3 linked regions of the Rattus norvegicus genome follow. The protein of the gene in region 1 interacts with the protein of each later gene in a pairwise test. Links are inferred from orthologs where the notes say so. Each region holds a gene or a part of one and is shown in the gene's direction. Other genes may lie near its edges. The genes, in order: Ms4a12, Mall and Pllp.

Region 1 (5,420 bases):
GAAGAGAGACTCAATGAAGGACTGTCTGCATCATGTTTCCCTTTGAGGGATTATCTTAATTAAGTTAATTGATATGGGGGGATCCAACCCACCATGGGTAACACCATTCCCTAGGCAGGGAGTTCTGGGCAGTATGAGAGTGGATAAATCAAGCTGAGCATGAGTAAGTGAGTAGGTTGGCATACACCCCTATCTCATGTGATATGAATAGTTCTTGGAAGTTTCTGCCTTGACTTCTCTACAGTGATGGACTATAAACTGAGATTGTGAGCCAAAAATAAACACTCCACCCCCAAGGTTGCTTTTACAAGGTTCAGTGTATTTCAACAATACATTATTGTTTTAGAGTATTTATGAAATTGTTATTTTTCCTTTAATTCAATTTAATTTTACGTGGTACCTATCCACTGAGGAAATAAACACAGAAGTTTCTGTGACTACAGTCTTCCTGGATAAATAAGATATAATCATAAACTTGGGACAAAATGAACTATGGATATGTTTCTGAGCTTTGGACCAATATAGCAACTGTTGCTTCTCAGAAATTCATGTGTACTCTACAACGAAAGTTGTGATAAGAGTTACAAAGTAAAAGATTTATCCCTTAGCACTGGTAAAATATCTCTTACTTGGTATGAGAACGGTTGTATACCAGCATTTAAAAAAAGCAAGCAACACAAGGACTGGAGAGACCGTGTTGTGGTTGAGAGCATTCACTGCTCTTGCAGAGGACATTACCATTCTCAGCACCCACATGGTGTCTCATAATTGCTTGTAACTTCAGTTTCAGGGTATCTGACCCCAAACCCCTTTGGACATCCTTGAACACCACCAGGCACACTTGTGATGCACAGACATTCATATAGGCAAAATACCCAGGTGCAGAAAATAAAATAATAGTTTTTGAAATAAAAAAAAATATGAGATATAAAAGCAAGTAATGCCATGGATTTTACATCTTAAAATGTGAGAGGAATTCACAGAGGAAAAAGCAAATCCATTTGACAAGTATAACAGTCAGAGCAACTCAGAATGGATGGAACCAAGCTGAGCCAGAAAGGACAGGTTGTAAATGAGTTTTGGAGTCAGTCCCGGGTCATGCATTCTGGGCGTGCCTTGGGCACTTGATTTCTTATGGCTTTGTGTCTCCATGTAGTTGTTGGCACAGTGACATGTTGAAATAATACGTGCAGGATGTTTAAAGTGTTATCCGGCATGTGCTTAATATTCTAGGAGTGACTTGGTTTCTACTGATTCCTTTTCTCATGACTAGCATTGCCTGGACAGAGAACTGCTTTACTTATACAAGACAGTCGCTGTCACTCAGGTCACAGCAGTCTATGAACAAATATACTCATCAAGGATACTAGGAGGTACTTAAGTAGTCACACTTCCTAAAGACCTCTTTGTAGGTCATGCAGAAATCAAACAAAATTTATTAAAAACGTTTATTACATACGTGCGTGTATGTGTACAAGTGCGGGTGTGCATGCATGCACATATACATAGAGGTCAGAGGGTAATTTGAAAGACTCAGTTCTCTCCACTACACGGGGTCTGAGTATCACACATTGGTCATCAGACAAGACAACAAATGTCCTTACCCACTGAACCAGCTCACTGGCCCCTCAAACAAAGGTTTTACCTGAAGCCCTTCCTCCCCTGATGTTTCAGTATACATCAAAATATTAACTGTTTAGGTGAATTCTCATGGATCCTGGTTACATGGACAGTGAATAAAAAGGAATGACTTTGGTTGTAACATTTCACAGGCTACTAATAAAAAGGTTATTTTAAAATGTCTCTCTGGTTTCTTTTTCAGGGAGTGCAAATCACAATTGGATTGATGCACATTGGCTTCGGAGTTGTTCTTGGGTTACTGAGCACCTCTTACTCTATGACTTGGGCATTTTACTCTACTGCTTTTATTGGTGGATATCCATTTTGGGGTGGAGTCTTTGTGAGTAGATTGCTAGGACAACTCTCCCTGTGCAGGAGTAGGTGTCCCCAGCCTGTTCAAAGCAAGTTCTTGGAAAGTTCTGTGTCTAATGGCTAGAGAGTTTTTAGAAATAACAGCTCTGATTGATCAGAAAGGGGGGGCTGCCACTCCCCACTTCAGACTTAACTCTACTGCAGCTTAAACTCATTCCTAATACAAAGCCAAGGTATAGGATGGAGGGTCTTGAAAGGGGATGATCCAAAACATGTGGAAGGTAGAGCGTTCACAAGATGAGACTGAGAATGAGATGAAGTTGAGTAGGAGGCTGTCATGCACAGTCGAGTCATCTGTTATCAAGTCCTTTACATGCAAGAAAATGAGGGTGGGGAATTAGAGTGTATCCCCAAGAGTTAATCTAAAGAAAAAAAGTATGCTGTGTGTGAGGGAAACAAGCAAACAAACATAACTGGACCAATCTCTAGTACAAAGAGACATTCCCAGGTGCAAGCAGAGAACCTACGATTCACGGATTTCTCTATGTCTACAGTTCATTGTTTCTGGCTCACTCTCCGTATCAGCATTCAAGAAGTTCTCTGACTGTCTGGTAAGTTAGAAAACTTATTTCAATTTCTCAAATTCCTTTAAAGATTGGTTTGATTTACTTTCAAGGAAAACCTGAGATGATAGATTAGAAGAGTATGGATGAAAAGAAGTTCTTTCTCAAAATATCTGCCAGCCGCTGGGCAGTGCCTGTGCTGGAGCAGGGGAACAGAGCACTCAGTTTGCTACTGGGAAAGGCAGAGCACCATATTCATGCTCTTGAAAGCACAAGAGAGGGAATCAGTAAAGGCAAGTGTTATTTAAGCTTTCACGTGCTGGCACACTGGTTCTGTTGGGTCACATGGCATTCAGGGAAAACCAAGGAAGAATCTAGGAGCCAAAACCAACCACCTATAAGCCACTTGAACAACAAAGTTCTGGTGTTCACTGCCATTCCTCAGCTCCATCTTGTATTTTCACTTTTCACTGGTGTGTAACTCCTATTGTTACTCAGACTGTCTCTGTTGTCAGTTCTTTAAATCGCCACGAGAGCAACCAGTTCAGAGGAAAGGAAGAGCACATAGAAATGACCACAGAGACTGGACTTCGGTTCTCCCAGCCTCAGCATGCCCCATGTTATAATTTCCTACTTTAGTAGCAAACCAGGAGAAAGATATCTTTTGCATAAACCTAGACCAGAAATGGTCTCAATATTATATGAGATCATGCACAAGAACAAAGGAGGGAGATAGGAACATGGAATCATATTTTTCATGCTCTCAAGATAAAACAGTGAGTTATGCTAGAATTAAAATCAGCCTAGTCTGATTAGTTGCATCTATTGTAATCCAAAACAAAACAGAGCATCCTTCTCTATATAGGTCACATCCCTCACAGGCTGTGTAGAAAGAGACTCTACCTCTTGGGATTGTACAACTAGATAGGAATGTATAAAGTCAGATACTAGGACCATCCCATGTGTAGTGGCTGTAAGAGTTAAAAATTACATCATTTTAAATATTTAACAAAATATCTATCACAGAATGCCAATTAAAAGTTTGTTCTTGCAGCTGTAGATCATTAGTTAAGAGCAGACTTAAGTTCTCTTCTAGAGGACCAGGGTTTCATTCCCAGCACTCACACAGTGACTTGTATTCTGTATAATTCATAGGGGAGAGGATTCGATCTCTCTCCTGGCTTCCGTGAGCACAGCATGCTCATGCTACAAAGATATGCATGCAGGCAAAACACCCAGATAAAAAATAAAATTAAATCAATTTTTAAAAAAAGCCCTTAAGTTTGTTTTTTTTAAAGTAGAGTTTTTTTTCAGTTCTTTACAGTTTTCATAAAATATATTTTGAATATTTTCTCTTCATTCTGCCAACTCCTCCCAGATCTTCCCAACCTCCCTACCCACCCAACTTTGTGTTCTTTCTGTCTTGAGAGAGAGAAGGGTGGATAACAAGATCTTCCCCATAGACCCTGAGCCTTAAGAGGTTGATGAAGATGTTCCATGCAGAAATGAGTGCTCCCAAGTCTTTCACTCCCTACACATTTTCCAGTTATGTCATGGAGATGTTATTGTAAACAAATGCCATTACATAAATGTGTTGGACGGCATTCTACTTCAAATTACATTTATATTGTCTCATATTTCTGTTACTTAAAATATTTACAGCTTCTTGGGGGGTGGGGACTGATAGCTGGAATACAGTGTAATTTTCACAACTATTCAGAAGGGCAGAAGAAAGATGTTATATCAATTTCGAATATTGTTTCATGGTAAGGATATAGGTCGGTGGTAAAGGACTTGCCTAGGATGCATCAAACCTTGAGTTCAATCCTCAGTACAGTCAAAACTAAAACAAGATGCCAACAATTAAGAAACATTAACTTGGAAAGACTCCCACTCCCTTTACATTCATTTGCCTTTTGCATGGATTACTGTTCTTGTTACCTCTATTAGGTGAAGAGTACCCTGATAATAAACATTTTTAGCATCATTTCTGCCTTTGTTGGAGTGGTTCTGTTTCTGTGTGATCTGAACAATAATGGCCACTATTATCAAGACTACTGGATGGTGGTAAGTGTCCTTCCATTGGCCACATGACGGTTCCTTTTTCACTACTAGAGTATATCCATTGCTGTCTCCTATTCATTAAACAGTGGTTCTGTTGAGAAAGTTCCATTTCTAACCCTACTCCTAGGGATGTGATTGTTAATACAAAGTGAAAAATTATATTTGCAGATAGATGAAGTCAGAACAACCACCCCATCACCATCACAGGCTCAATAGATACAGAGAAGAATTTCTTTTTTCTGCATTTGAAATTCTGCATAAATACAATAGCCATGTCTTACGTGGCTTTTTTACCATGAAAACAGGAAGACTGTCTGCGTGTGCAATCACCCCCTGATTATTTCTCTATTGTCATCAAATGCTTATTTAGGAGAGATACAAATGTCTTTTGATTTTTTAAATAGCAGAAGACTTTTTCTTTCAGCAAATAAACTACTTAGGAATAATGGAATATAAATGATTTTTTTTTCTCGGGAACAGTCTCACTGCTGTTATAAAAAAAAAGAAAGTTGGGTTGGGGATTTAGCTCAGTGGTAGAGCACTTGCCTAGCAAGCACAAAGCCCTGGGTTCGGTCCCCAGCTCCAAAAAAAAAAAAAAAAAAAAAGAAAGTCACTCACAGAGTGAGTTGAACATTAGCAAGATAGCACTTTCGATGAATCAGGGTGTTTCTGAAGAGCCTCCTGTTCAGCCTAACAGTCTATTTGTTTATGATTTCAGCTTTCTGGGAGAGGAATTGCAGGTGTGCTGGCAATATTTTCCTTGTTGGAATTCAGCATAGCGTGGGCCACGGCCTACTTTGCATACCAAACTATCCTCCATGGCAACAGAGTGAGTTGATTCTCTTCTTTGTAAAAAGAATC
Region 2 (6,068 bases), on another chromosome or scaffold:
AGCTGACCATATACAAAACAGAGTATCCAAGGCTTGTCCTGGGGTTCAGAGCTGGCACCACAGTACAACAGAGCCTTCAAAACATTGAAACCACAGCCCAAGGAGACACAGAGCTCCTCGACTGATAAAACTCATTAGTACTCAAGACAGGATTTAAACTTGGTGCAAATCCCGTGACATAAGATTCCTAATGTCCACGAGACAATCCACAATCAACATCTGTAAGAGAAAAAGACAAAAAGACAACCAAGAGCTAATAAGTCCAAGACTACATAATTATTAGAACTAAGGCATTAACGCAACTCTCATAACCATGTTCCAAGAAGTAAGGGCAAGCGCTGGAGAGATGGCTCAGTGGTTAAGAGCACTGACTGCTCTTCCAGAGGTCCTGAGTTCAATTCCCAGCAACCACATGGTGGCTCACAACCATCTGTAATGGAATCTGATGCCCTCTTCTGGTGTGTCTGAAGACCACTACTGTGTACTCATATAAAATAAAATCCTTAAAAAAAAAAAAAAGAAGTAAGAGTAAATCTATTTCAATGGAAAACAAACCATTTCAACAGGGAAACATAATACAAACAAGAATTGAGGTAAATTTTAGAGAGATAAACTGTTGTAAAATGGCAAACCTCCATGAACATACACACACACACACACACACACACACACACACACACACACACTAACAGTAGGTGAAATTAAAATATGTAAAAAAAATCCACTTCAGAGAGACTACAGAAACCTTATCGTCATATGGTCCCTTTACCTCTCTCTTGCCCCGTGTGGAGGTCACTGTATTAAATACATACAAACTAAAATTATCACCAAATACGAGTACACTGTTTGCTCTGGACCATGGTAATACTTTGCCCACATACTTACCATCCATGTCACTATTCCTTCATTTTGACTACCCACAGCTCCCTACTGGTAGAATTTTCCTTTGCTGGAACTTGTGTGTGTGTGTGTGTGTGTGTGTGTGTGTGTGTGTGTGTGTGTGTGTGTGTACAGCACACTGTGAGTCGACAGTATGTGAATATGTATATATACAGATGTGTGCTCTAGCGTGCTCTGACATATTCCTTTGTGACAGGATCTCGGTGAATCAGGACTGAGGCTAGCATCGAAGAGAGCACCGGGGATGCTGTGTGCCTTCGTGTCCCTGGAATTTGTTTACAAGCTGCTCTAGGATTCAATGGGCATGGTTAACCTCACAGTCTACTCAGAATTCATGCTTTCCAGGCCAGTGAGATGGCTTGTCAGGTAGAGGCATTGACTGTCCCTCAAGCCTGATGACCGGAGTCGAATCCTTGGAACCTGTGTGTACTTCTTACTCTGCTGTTCCTGATGCCCCATGTAGATTACGGTCACGTCAAAGGGGGTCAGAGCCCCAAAGAATGCATAATGCTTATGTATGGCATTCACAAAAGGTGGATGGCTTCGGATGCCAGCAGCGTGGGGACTGAAGCATATGAACTATAAGCTCTAGAACTTGGAAAAGATTGAGGCTGGCTCGAAGCTTGCTGAGGAGACCTTTGCTTTTCCCTGCAATGCCTTGGCTTTAAGCTTTGCTTCGTGTATCCAAACTCTGCTGGCCGCTCCAGACCAGGTGGGGCTAACAGGCTACTTCTCCAAGCTTGCCCAGGAGTTCCCTGCTGTTGCTAAGAAACAAGACACAGGGCTCTTGTGCAGGACATCCCCCAGTCCTTGGGGCAACTCTTCCATGCCTCCTCTCCTCCTGAGGAGGCTTTCCAACTAGCCTTCTGGAGCCAAAGAGGGAAGGAAGACGACTCTGGGGCGCCAGACTTTTTCCTCAGGGTGGTGGAAAAAAAATGAAGGTTAGTGGGTTGGTAAAGAAGAAAGTGACCCAGTCTCCAGACCTGACGTGTGTGTGTGTGTGTGTGTGTGTGTGTGTGTGTGTGTGTGTGTGTGTGTGTGTGTGCAGCCAGCCCCAGGCTCTACTCAGGAAGGAACTGCCTGGCTCCAATCCTGTGTCCTAACTGACTAAGAAGACATCAAGAGGAGGAACCAAGAGGAATTCAGAGTCCCTGAGGAGGGGAGGTGGAAACCAGGCTGCTCCAATCCTTCCATTAGAATTTGAGGACAAGGCGGATGCTGCTGTGACCGCTCTGTGATCCTAACTGCACCTCTTTCTAGTCTCCTTTCTTGGAAAGGTACAACATAGACACGTGGTGGTCTGTCTGAGCTCCAGATGTGTGTGTAGGTGGCTAACCATACAGTAGATCCTCAATAAAATGGTCTTTATCTTAGCAAAAAGAGCCCTTGCTTACACTCTGAGCACAGAGATCATCAGGGGCATACAAAGCTGTTCCATTCACACACTGTCACTCATATCATCTGGAGTCATTTGCTCCAGCATTCAAAAGTTCCTTAGCAGGGAGGTCTAGATAGAAAGAGCCTCTGCAAGGCTGGTCTGTCCCCTCTCTTGCCTAGCCACAGTACACAGAAGGACCTGATCCACTGGAACCTTTCTTTTCCCCTCCCAGGCGACGACGTCCCTCTGGCCGATGGGTGTGTCTGGCGGGCGGGAGGTGATTCTTGCACAGCTGCGGGCGCGGGCGAGTGCCGCGGAGTAAGGACGCCAGCATAGGTGACAGCATGGCCTCCCGGGACACACCGCCGGCCACCAGCTACGCCCCGCCTGAAGTGCCCTCGGGGGTCGCCGCCTTGTTCCTCACCATCCCCTATGCCTTCTTCCTACCGGAGCTGGTGAGTGTGGCTGCCCCCACCTGCGGGGAGGGAGGGGCGGAACCACCGGGAACCTCTCTGTAACTGGGATGGGGAAAGGCAGCTAGCTACAGGCTCCTGCTTTTCCCGTGTCCCAGACTAGGTTCCAATAGAGCGAATTTTCCTCTTTCCCAAAGCTTGAAGAGCCATCCCCAGGCCACTCGCTTGCTGGAGGAGTCCAGCCACCTTCTAGACTACCCAGACCCCTAAGAAAATTCTATTACCTGGTTTCTTTCCCCCTTGCTGTTTCCTAAAGTTCAAAGAACTAGGGGACTCTCTAAGGGCCTTCTGAAAGAAGGTCTCCCAGCATTTTCTCAAATCACATCAGCTGACTTTGAACTTTGATTTATGTGTACTCCCTGCCAGAGGGAGCTCCTGACAGCATCATCCATAAAACAATCTGAACCGCCCAGGTTACTCTGGAAAACTTGTTGCTGCCCGACTCTGGGACACCACACAGCAGAACTGGGCGCTAGTCCATGCCTGCACTGAGCAGTGCATTCAGTAGAAAACAAAACAGGTCCCTCGGCTGGTTCCTGCTCTCATCCACCTCCCCCACTCCCCGCCAAGCCTCCCGTAATATCTAGTTTGTGGGTGAAATTTTCTTCTTAGCCCTGAATTTGACCATGCTGCCTCTGGATTGGGAGGGAGACTTGGAGTAGGACTGCTTACATAAAATGGGTGTGACCAACCCTTTCCCTTCTCCTGGTCTTCCGTGGAAGGTTAGGTCCCCTTGAGTGACCTTTAGGCAAATTGCTTAACCAACAGCCATTCTTGTCGATCAAGAAAGGGAAGTCAGGCTTATGGGTTCCACAGGTAGGTGGCCTTGATAGAAACTCCACCTAAGAGGCAGGTTTCTTCCAGCGCCAACCCCCCACAAATGTGGGCATCCTGCCAGGCTGATCACGTCCTGAGCTCTGTGTGCCAGGCCCTGGGTGTGGGCCTCACTTTGGAACAGCCACATGGATGGCAGGATGGCTCTGCTGAATTCTATTGAGAGAATGCTTGTCAGTCACGAAAATCATGGTCAGCGGAGTGGCTACCTGCCAGGGGTCTCTGTGGACAGAGAGAGGCTTGGGAGCATTTTCTGAGCAGTTAGAATGCAGCATGGTGTCCCAGCCAGATGAGTGAGGGTCCAGTCCTGTCACTGGGAGTTGCCACTGGAAGAACACTGGATGCCGGAGGCAGGAAAGCAGTCAGGTAGAGAACTGTCACTAGAGGCGCTGACAGGTGTCCCCACCTCTCCTCCTGCAGTTGGATTCCTGGAAAAGTACTTTCCTGGTGTCCTGGGACTTCGAGGGGATGAGGTCATTGTCATTGATTTGATTTTCTTGACTTACTTTTAAATAGTTTTAGATTTCTCCTAAAGCCATAGTGGCCGCACAGGAAGTCTGTTCCTCACTCTGAACCCCCAGGTCTCTCCAAGCCAGGAAGTTAACACGAGCACTCCGCCATTGACCATTGTTGTCCTACTTGCTCATTTCCCCACTAATATCCTCCCCCCAGCCCAGGATCCAGGTCAAAGCTCCTGATTGTGCTTGGCTGTCCTTCCCCTTAATCCCGGGAGGTTCCTCCGCCTTCGTCTCCGTCTTCTAGAGAAAGCACGGTCGGTCGGCTATTGCGGACCCTGGTCGTAGTTAGACTTCTACGCTCGCTCACTGTCCCTGTCGCTTTAATTTGCAATCCATCTTCATTCATTGATGAAAACTTAGAAAACACAGAAATGTGTTCACAGATGGAGCACATGCACGATCTCTGTGTGTACGTGTGTGTGCATGTGAAGGGATATTTCAATCTGTGTGTGTGAGTGTGTGTCTGAATCTGAGTGTGTGTGAGTGCACATATGTGAGTGTGCTGTGTGTATGTGTGTGTGTGAAGGGGTGTGTGAGTCTGTGAGTGTGTCTGAATCTGAGTGTATGTGAGTGCACATATGTGAGTGTGTATATGTGTGCATGTGTGCATGTGTATGTGTGTGTATGTGAAGGGGTGTGTGAGTCTGTGTGAGTGTGTGTCTGAGTGTGTGTGAATGTGTATATGTGTGCATATGTGTGAGTGTCTGTATGTGTGAGTGTGTGCATGAATATGTGTGTATGTGTGTGAGTGCATGTCTGTATTTGAGTGTGTATGAGTGTGTGTATATGTGTGCATGTATGCGTGAGTGTGTGTATATGTGTGTGTGCATGTATTTATGTGTGTATGTGTATGAGTGCGTGTCTGTATCTGAGTGTGTGTGCAATGTATGAGTGTATGTGTGTGCATGTATGTGTGAGTATGTGAGTGTGAGTGTGTATGTCTGTATCTGAGTGTGTGCTTGTGTTGAGTACATAATTCTGCACATGCTGCTTGTACCTGCTCTGAGCATGCCTAGAAGGACTCCAGAATGATGTGTGCCTGTTTGGAGGATGGGGAAGGAAATGAGAAGGTGGGGGAAAAGATTTTGATGTCATGGGCAGAAGAAGCTGGGAAGATGTTATGTGTGCGGGATGAGTTTGTCCAAAGCCCTTCTTTTGGCTCTAGTGATCTGATGTATTCTCGCTCTGCTGTCTACTGGGGCAGTGTGAAAGCACCAAGCCTCCAGGCACCCCTGATCCCTAAGTCTTCTGGTGTGAGACAAAAGTCTATATAGAACACATTAGAAAGCACGGAGGCCAGGACACCTCTGCAGAGCACAGAAAGCAGAACCCTAGAGCTAGGGCACAGTGATTCCTCATGGGGTAGCTCGGGGTGATATCAGCACATGGTGTCTACAGTGACCTCTCCTAACCACTGTGTGTGTGTGTGTGTGTGTGTGTGTGTGTGTGTGTGTGTGTGTGTGTGTGCGTGTGTGTGTGTGTTCACATAGAACCAAGAGTGGGCAGATTCATTGTCAGATCAAAGCGGACAAGCTCTCCCTAATCATGGGCCTCTTTGACTGCAGAGGAAGTACAGCCTCTAGCTCTTCGTGGTTCTTGAAGATGACAGCAAAGGTTACTCAGGCTCCCCCTAGCCTACTCTAGTGACCTTTGACCTTTGCCTACAATGCTTTATCTCCCACTCCTCAGCATTAAAATTCACATTAAAACATTTTACTCTGTGGTAGTGGTTGTTCTCACAGGAACTTGTAGTCCCCGCATCTAACTAGCATTATTTTCAACCCAGGAAACTGAGGTTGGGAAGACAGATCTCATGTTTAGAGTAGATTTGTCTGAGAGCAACTGAGGTTCAGGACTGTCCCATAACACCAAAGCCCCCTTTTTGCTACTCTCTAGACTTCCCCAACCCATCCCACTCCCTTGCTATTCCAAACAGTCTATTAGAAAAAAATCACGATAATGATT
Region 3 (6,146 bases), on another chromosome or scaffold:
CCTTCCCTTGTGGGCATCTGAGCAGGCGCATTCTGCTACTAGACCCTCCAGACAAACTTTTAAGAAACAAAAGGGTTGCTGGACATAGAGCCTTGGGCATTTGGCCCGGTGCTAGTGTATTTGTTTATCGTGTTCAAGACTCGGGGCTCAGTCCTTGGCACAGTGTGAACTGGTATTTATAATCTCAGCACTTGAGAGGCAGAAGCAGGGCAAAAATCCATCATCAGACACATCAGAAGTTCAGGGCTGGCCTGGGTTACATGAGACTTTGTCTTTAAAAAGAAGACTCTTGCTCTCTTCCTCTTACCCTCTCCCCACTTTGTGCCTTCTCTCCCCATTCCCTTCCCCCATCTCTCTCCGTGTGCTCATGGGCGGCCTCTCTACTCCTCTTCTACTTCTTCCTTCTCTCTCTCTCTCTCTCTCTCTCTCTCTCTCTCTCTCTGCCCCCACTACCCTCTTACATCCCCTCCCCATGACCTAACAAACTCTATTCTATACTAAAAAAAATAATAATAATAAAGAAGAAGAAAAGAAGAAAAAGGAATCTTTGCAGATTGTTAGTGACTGGCTGACTGAATAAATATTTCAAGTTCCTGATTTGAGGATACTGAACTGTATTATCTCGTAGGCAATATCGTCATGACCACATCCTTACAAAAGAGATGGGGTGGGAGTGTAGATCTTGTGCATAGGAAGAGGAGAGCTGACTGACGATACATAGACAGGGCTAGATAGGGTACCAGAATCCACTGATGGCTGGTCACCTGTAATCCCAGCGTGTAAAGACCTGACCTACACGGAAATGTCAAAAGCATGAAGTCAGTTGGGTGACAGAGCAATCCGGTCTTAAAACAAAATGTGAGAAAAAAAATAACTCCAGAGGTTGCCTGGCCTCAGGACATCACGGCTGTGTCTCCATGATGCTGCTTCTGCGTATCTAGCCTCCATCACTGAGAGGAAACTTTTGTTACTTTAAGGCCTGGAGCATGTGGTAAGTTGTCACCAGAAGCCACAGGATAGTACAGTAGTCTGCATAGCCTCTGTGACTTGGTCCCTTCTCACTGGGGGCCAGTGTCACCCTCATGTGCTCAGTCCCACTGGGGACCTGCTTTCTATTTCTCCATCTCCCTAGGTTGGTCCTGCTACAGGGCCTTTGCACAGACTCCGCCCCTTGCTTACGTCCTCCCAAGGTTTCCTCCTACTCACAAATTCGGGCTTCTGCACAGGTGTCATCCCTTCTGATAGGTCTTCCTTGACTAATGTGCTGGTTGATTTTGTGTCAGCTTGATACAATCCAAGAGGAGGGAAGTTGGCTTGAGAAAATGCCCCCCCCCCCCCGTAAGATTGGCGAAGGCAAGCCTGCAGAGCATTTTCTTAGTGATTGATGGGGGAGGGCCCCACCCATTGTGGGCGGTGCCACCCCTGAACTAGTGGTCCTGGGTTCTACAAGAGAGCAGGCTGAGCAAGCCAGTAAGCAGCCCTGCATCGGCTCCTGCCACCAGGTCTCTGCCCTGCTTGAGTTCCGGTCCTGACTTCCTTCAGGGATGAACAATGATGTGGAAGCAAAAACCAAATAAACCCTTTTCCTCCCCAGTTTGCTTTTGCACAAAGGTCTATGCACGTGACTCCTCATGTCTGTGCAGGGGAAAAGATTTTCAGGGCACACACAGCAGTGAAATCCAGTATCACCCCTCATCCCAAAGTCAAGCCTCTCTGCACAAGACTTTGAGTGTTCTCAAATAGTTCTTCAAAGTGGATACCTGTACACCCTCTAGGACAGAGAAGGAGCCACTGTTCAGCCCTCTCCAGGTTCTAGATTGTCAGTTGCTACCTGCCGTGCTGGTTGGTTCCAGGGACTTGCGTTTGCACAACTACACCAGAAAAGCCCGCTACCGCTACCGAGTAGCTCCATTCCTGGTCCCCAAACCATTTCGTATTTTTAGCTCCCTAATATCTGGGATTAGCGTGTACCACTAGACTAGTTTTTGTTTCATTTTGTTTTGTTTGTCGTGTAGACAAGGTCTCATGTGCCCCTGGCTAACCTGGAATTCCCTATGTAGCTCAAGATAATCTGAATTCATTCTCCTGGCCTCTGGCGGGGTTTACAGTCACATGCTTCTCTGCCCGACTTAGGTAGTGTTAGCTAGTTAGTTAGTTAGTTTTGAGACACTCTGTAGGTGTCTCACCCTGTAGCCCAAACAATCCTGGAATTCATTATATAAGCAGGCTAGCCTTGGATTTTCAGTCGTCCCCTCTCCTGCACTTGCCCGTTTTTCGTTATCTGTTTAGAAAGGAACCCGCCTGCAGTCCAGGAAATGACTCCACTCCACTCTCCTACACTGCGTACCCCGAGGCGGGTAGAACTCCCAAGGACGCTTATTCACAGAGACCTGCCCAAACACCAGCACACTAGGGGTTCTTCACGATCTCTATCCAGAGCAAACAGGCGAACCGAGGGTTAAGGGGCGGGGCCTCTTCGAGGGGCGGGGCCTCGGGCGGAGCGGGGTCGGGCTTCGCGCACCTGTAGGTTCTGTCTAGGGATCCGCTGTCGCAGCCCCGGAGCAGCGCCGGGAGCGCGTCCCGAGCGTCGTAGGCTCGCGATCGCTATGGCGGAGTTCCCGTCGAAAGTGAGCACCAGGACCAGCAGCCCCGCGCAGGGCGTGGGAGCATCTGTGTCTGCGATGCGACCGGACCTGGGCTTTGTGCGCTCCGCCCTTGGGGTGCTCGCGCTTCTGCAGCTGGTGAGCGGGGTAGCTCGGGGACTGGATGGGGAACTCTCCGGGGACCCCCGGGACGCACACTTCCGAGATCGTCTGGAACCTTGCACCCTGGGACGGTCGTGTGACAGCCCTGCGAGCACAGCATGACTCCTATGGAGGGGACCTACACACCCTACTCGGGTGGTTCCCGCGGCGACGCCGCAGCTGAGATTGCAGCTCACTACAGTCCGCCAGTCTGTCCCTTTCCTTCTGCCCTGCCCCCTTCCCTCTAGGACCGTGCTCTGGCTTTCTCCGCCGGGCAAAGTCCACTGTCTGCCTCTTCACCCGGCTTTAGCCACTAAGTGCTTTGGCTCTGCAGCCCTCCTGGACAGGGCAGGACACCACATCGGTGGCCCTGACTCGCGCGCTCCCTCCATGGTACCTGCCCGGGGTCCGTGGACCAAATCTCCTTCCTTGGGCTGTGGAGATTGGCAAAGGCCAGAAACCACGTGCCTGCCGTCCCCGGTACTCATCAGGCCCCACTAGGTGCATCCTAAGATGTCAGCTATCTTTTTTATAGTATCTTCCTGGAAGGGTCTGGAGGCCTGTGGCTGCCTCTGGGGAGCCCTCTGCATTAACTGAGATCCACTGGCAGAGGAATAGGGTAGCACTGGAGGTGGCCGTCTCTGTCATCCCTCCAATGGGCACATGGAGCCAGGGTGCCAGGCCAAGCTAGGGAGTCGGGAGACCTGCAGTGAGACTAGGTCTTTCCTGCCCTCCAGGGGAGTGGCCATGTCCACCTAGGGCATGCTATCTTGGTTTCGAGATTTCTGATCTTCCTTAGTGAGCCTTCGCCCTTCGCCCTCACCCCCAACCCCGCGCCGTCTTCTCCCTGGGTTTGTTTAAGATTCTGATTCTTGGGCCCCACCCCAGGGAAAAATGTGAAACCGCACTTTAAATCTTCAATAGCGCACCAAGAAATTTGCATTTTAATGTCTTCTTCCGGAGTGGTTTTGGGCTACTGTTTGGTTTTGATGAGATCAGGGAAGATAGCTCGATGCCCTCTTCTGGGACCAATTTAACTCTGCAGCGTAGACACAGTCGACCCTGGAGTGTTGGGCTCTTGGCGATTGGCTTGTTTGTTTTATTTATTTTGTTTTATTCAATTCGTTTCTGTATTTTTTTATTTTCTTGAGACTGGGTCGCATATAGCCCAGATTGGTCTTGAATTCTCACTTAGCTATTGCTGGCTTCAAATTCCTTATGTAGGCGAGGCTAGCCTTGGACTAGATTTTCCCAAGTGTTGTAATTACTCTCGGGCGCCACCCGGCACCACTACTCCAGGGTCTGCAGCTGGTTTCTTTGAACCTCACACCCGAGAGTCAGCTTTGGGCTGTGGGCGGAGCTAAATGGTTTGTGAAAGGGACAGAGAGGAGAAAGGTCTAGGAGGGCTTCACTGAGGGGCTAGAAAGGCTAGCTTTTGAGCTGGGCCTTCAGTGGAATGCGAGGCTGGGGTAGTGCGGGCAATGCTGTGGGGACAGCAGACGGCTGAGTTGAGTGAGGTAGGGAAAGAAGGCCACAGGCTGAGCAGGAGATGAAGCATCTTTCTGGTCTGGCCAGGAGCCCAGCATTTTATGCATCTAGGGCCAGAACTGGGGTCTTGGTTATGTTGGTGGCCTTGGGAGGTTTTGGAGCATGAAGATGTCAGGGTGTGAAGTGATAGGTGCCCTTTACTCCCTACCTCCGTCCCTATATTCGTTCTACAGACCTCACTTGGAGACTATGCCAGCCGCTGGTTCCTAAGATGTTTCTGTGGCAACCTACTCCACTGGGGCCAAGAGTGGGGAGGGGCCAAGATAGGCACCATACCTGCTGGAAAGCCACAACTGGAGGCTGGCTAGGTGTTTTTTGTTTTTTGTTTTTGTTTTTTGTTTGTTTGTTTGTTTGAAAGACTGGGTCTCTCCACATAGTTTTGGCTGTCTTGGAACTCACTTTATAGACCAGGCTGGCTTTGAATTAAGAGTTTTGGGATCAAAGGCATGCACCAGCATGGCCAGATTTGACTAGAATTTTCTTCTCTTAGCAGATGAGAAAACAGGCTCAGAAGTTTCTTTCTAATCACTCCCATCCTGGAGAGCTGTTTTCTGACCTCTCCGGCCCCTACTCATATTGGTTTGCTCTTACAGTGTGGGGTGTGACACTTTAGAGGAAGTGAGAGAGGCTCCATGCCTAGTGCCAGGCCCCTGGGGATCAGGAAAGGCTGCCTGGAGGAGGCGGTAAACTGAGGCCACTGGCTCTGTCTCCTAGGGTATAGAGAGTCCTGCAGTGGTAGAAAGATGGATGAATAGCAAGCCCAAGCTTCCGGAGCAAAACATAGTTCTTCGTTTAGCATGGTGGTTCGCCTGCAGAACCTGACATCTACAGACACCTGATGGTCTTTTTACTACTCCATAACTTTGCCCACACCCATCTAGCTCCAGAAAGAATATCAGAGGGTGCTGTTAATCATTAAAACAGAAGTTAGTGTGTTTCTAAAGCCTGGCTTGAGAAAGCTAAGAAAAGACCTAATCTAGCAGGAAACCTGCAAGTTTAAAATGTTGGCTCCCAGCTGAGCTTCCTAGTAACGAAAGCGAGTCTTCGCAGCTATTGTCTAAACAGGCAGGTGAATTTGACCTGGAGACAACTTTTTGCTTTATGTTACAGTTCTTTGTGAGGCAAGGGAGAGGAAGGTGCTGACAGGCACCTGAGGTGCATCCCAATGAGTTTAGAAAAACTTTGAAGAGTGTGGGGGTGAAGTGCTCATATTTGTCTTTCCTTTCTTATTTTGTTTTTGTTTTTTGAGACAGGATTTCTCAGTGTAGCCCTACCTGTCCTGAAACTTGCTCCACAGACCAGGCTGGCCTCCAACTCACAGAAATCCTCCTGCCTGTGTGTTCCAAGTGCTGGGATTGAAGGTGTTCACAAGTACTGCCGGGCTCATATTTTTGCTACTTTTTAACACATGTCCCCTCCCCAGCTTTGGGACAAGGGATGATCTTACCTGGGACTTACTGATAAGCACAAAGGGACTTGAATAGAGTCACAGGACGGGGTTGGAGGGAAGACAGCAAAGCTACTGCCCATGGGTAGGACTTGCACTTAGAGCTGGCTGTTTGACGACTGACTCCATCAATGTCTCCTGCTGCCTTTAAATGAGGTTCTGGGGTTCCTAGATGACCTTGCAAGAGAAGGATGACCTCTTCCGGAAGGGGAGACTCAGCCAAGACTTTTGGGGAGGGCTTCCTGGAAGAGGTGAGCTCTTACGAGTCTGTCTAGATGATTGGGGTTTTAGAAGAGGGGTCTAGGGGTTGGGGATTTAGCTCAGTGGTAGAGCGCTTGCCTAGCAAGCGAAAGGCCCTGGGGAGGGCTTCCTGGAAGAGGTGAGCTCTTACGAGTCTGTCTAGATGA

The links.
Region 2: the proteins of Ms4a12 (region 1) and Mall interact in binary tests that used the Homo sapiens proteins (3 or more experiments, as listed by UniProt). The two-hybrid records come from large-scale screens. The link is inferred for Rattus norvegicus from reciprocal best matches to the Homo sapiens genes MS4A12 and MALL.
Region 3: the proteins of Ms4a12 (region 1) and Pllp interact in binary tests that used the Homo sapiens proteins (3 or more experiments, as listed by UniProt). The two-hybrid records come from large-scale screens. The link is inferred for Rattus norvegicus from reciprocal best matches to the Homo sapiens genes MS4A12 and PLLP.

The regions. Positions count from the first base shown.
Region 1 is NC_086019.1:217,307,780-217,313,199, reverse strand, and holds part of Ms4a12 (membrane-spanning 4-domains subfamily A member 12), read left to right. Parts: exon of another isoform or gene 1-1,822; coding exon 1,823-1,960; intron 1,961-2,486; coding exon 2,487-2,543; intron 2,544-4,445; coding exon 4,446-4,562; intron 4,563-5,277; coding exon 5,278-5,388; intron 5,389-5,420. UniProt on the Homo sapiens protein: May be involved in signal transduction as a component of a multimeric receptor complex.
Region 2 is NC_086021.1:135,400,591-135,406,658, reverse strand, and holds the start of Mall (MAL-like protein), read left to right. Parts: upstream 1-2,592; 5' UTR 2,593-2,622; coding exon 2,623-2,733; intron 2,734-6,068.
Region 3 is NC_086037.1:10,318,689-10,324,834, forward strand, and holds the start of Pllp (plasmolipin), read left to right. Parts: upstream 1-2,391; 5' UTR 2,392-2,606; coding exon 2,607-2,741; intron 2,742-6,146. UniProt on the Homo sapiens protein: Main component of the myelin sheath that plays an important role in myelin membrane biogenesis and myelination. Plays an essential function in apical endocytosis. Regulates epithelial development through the regulation of apical endocytosis.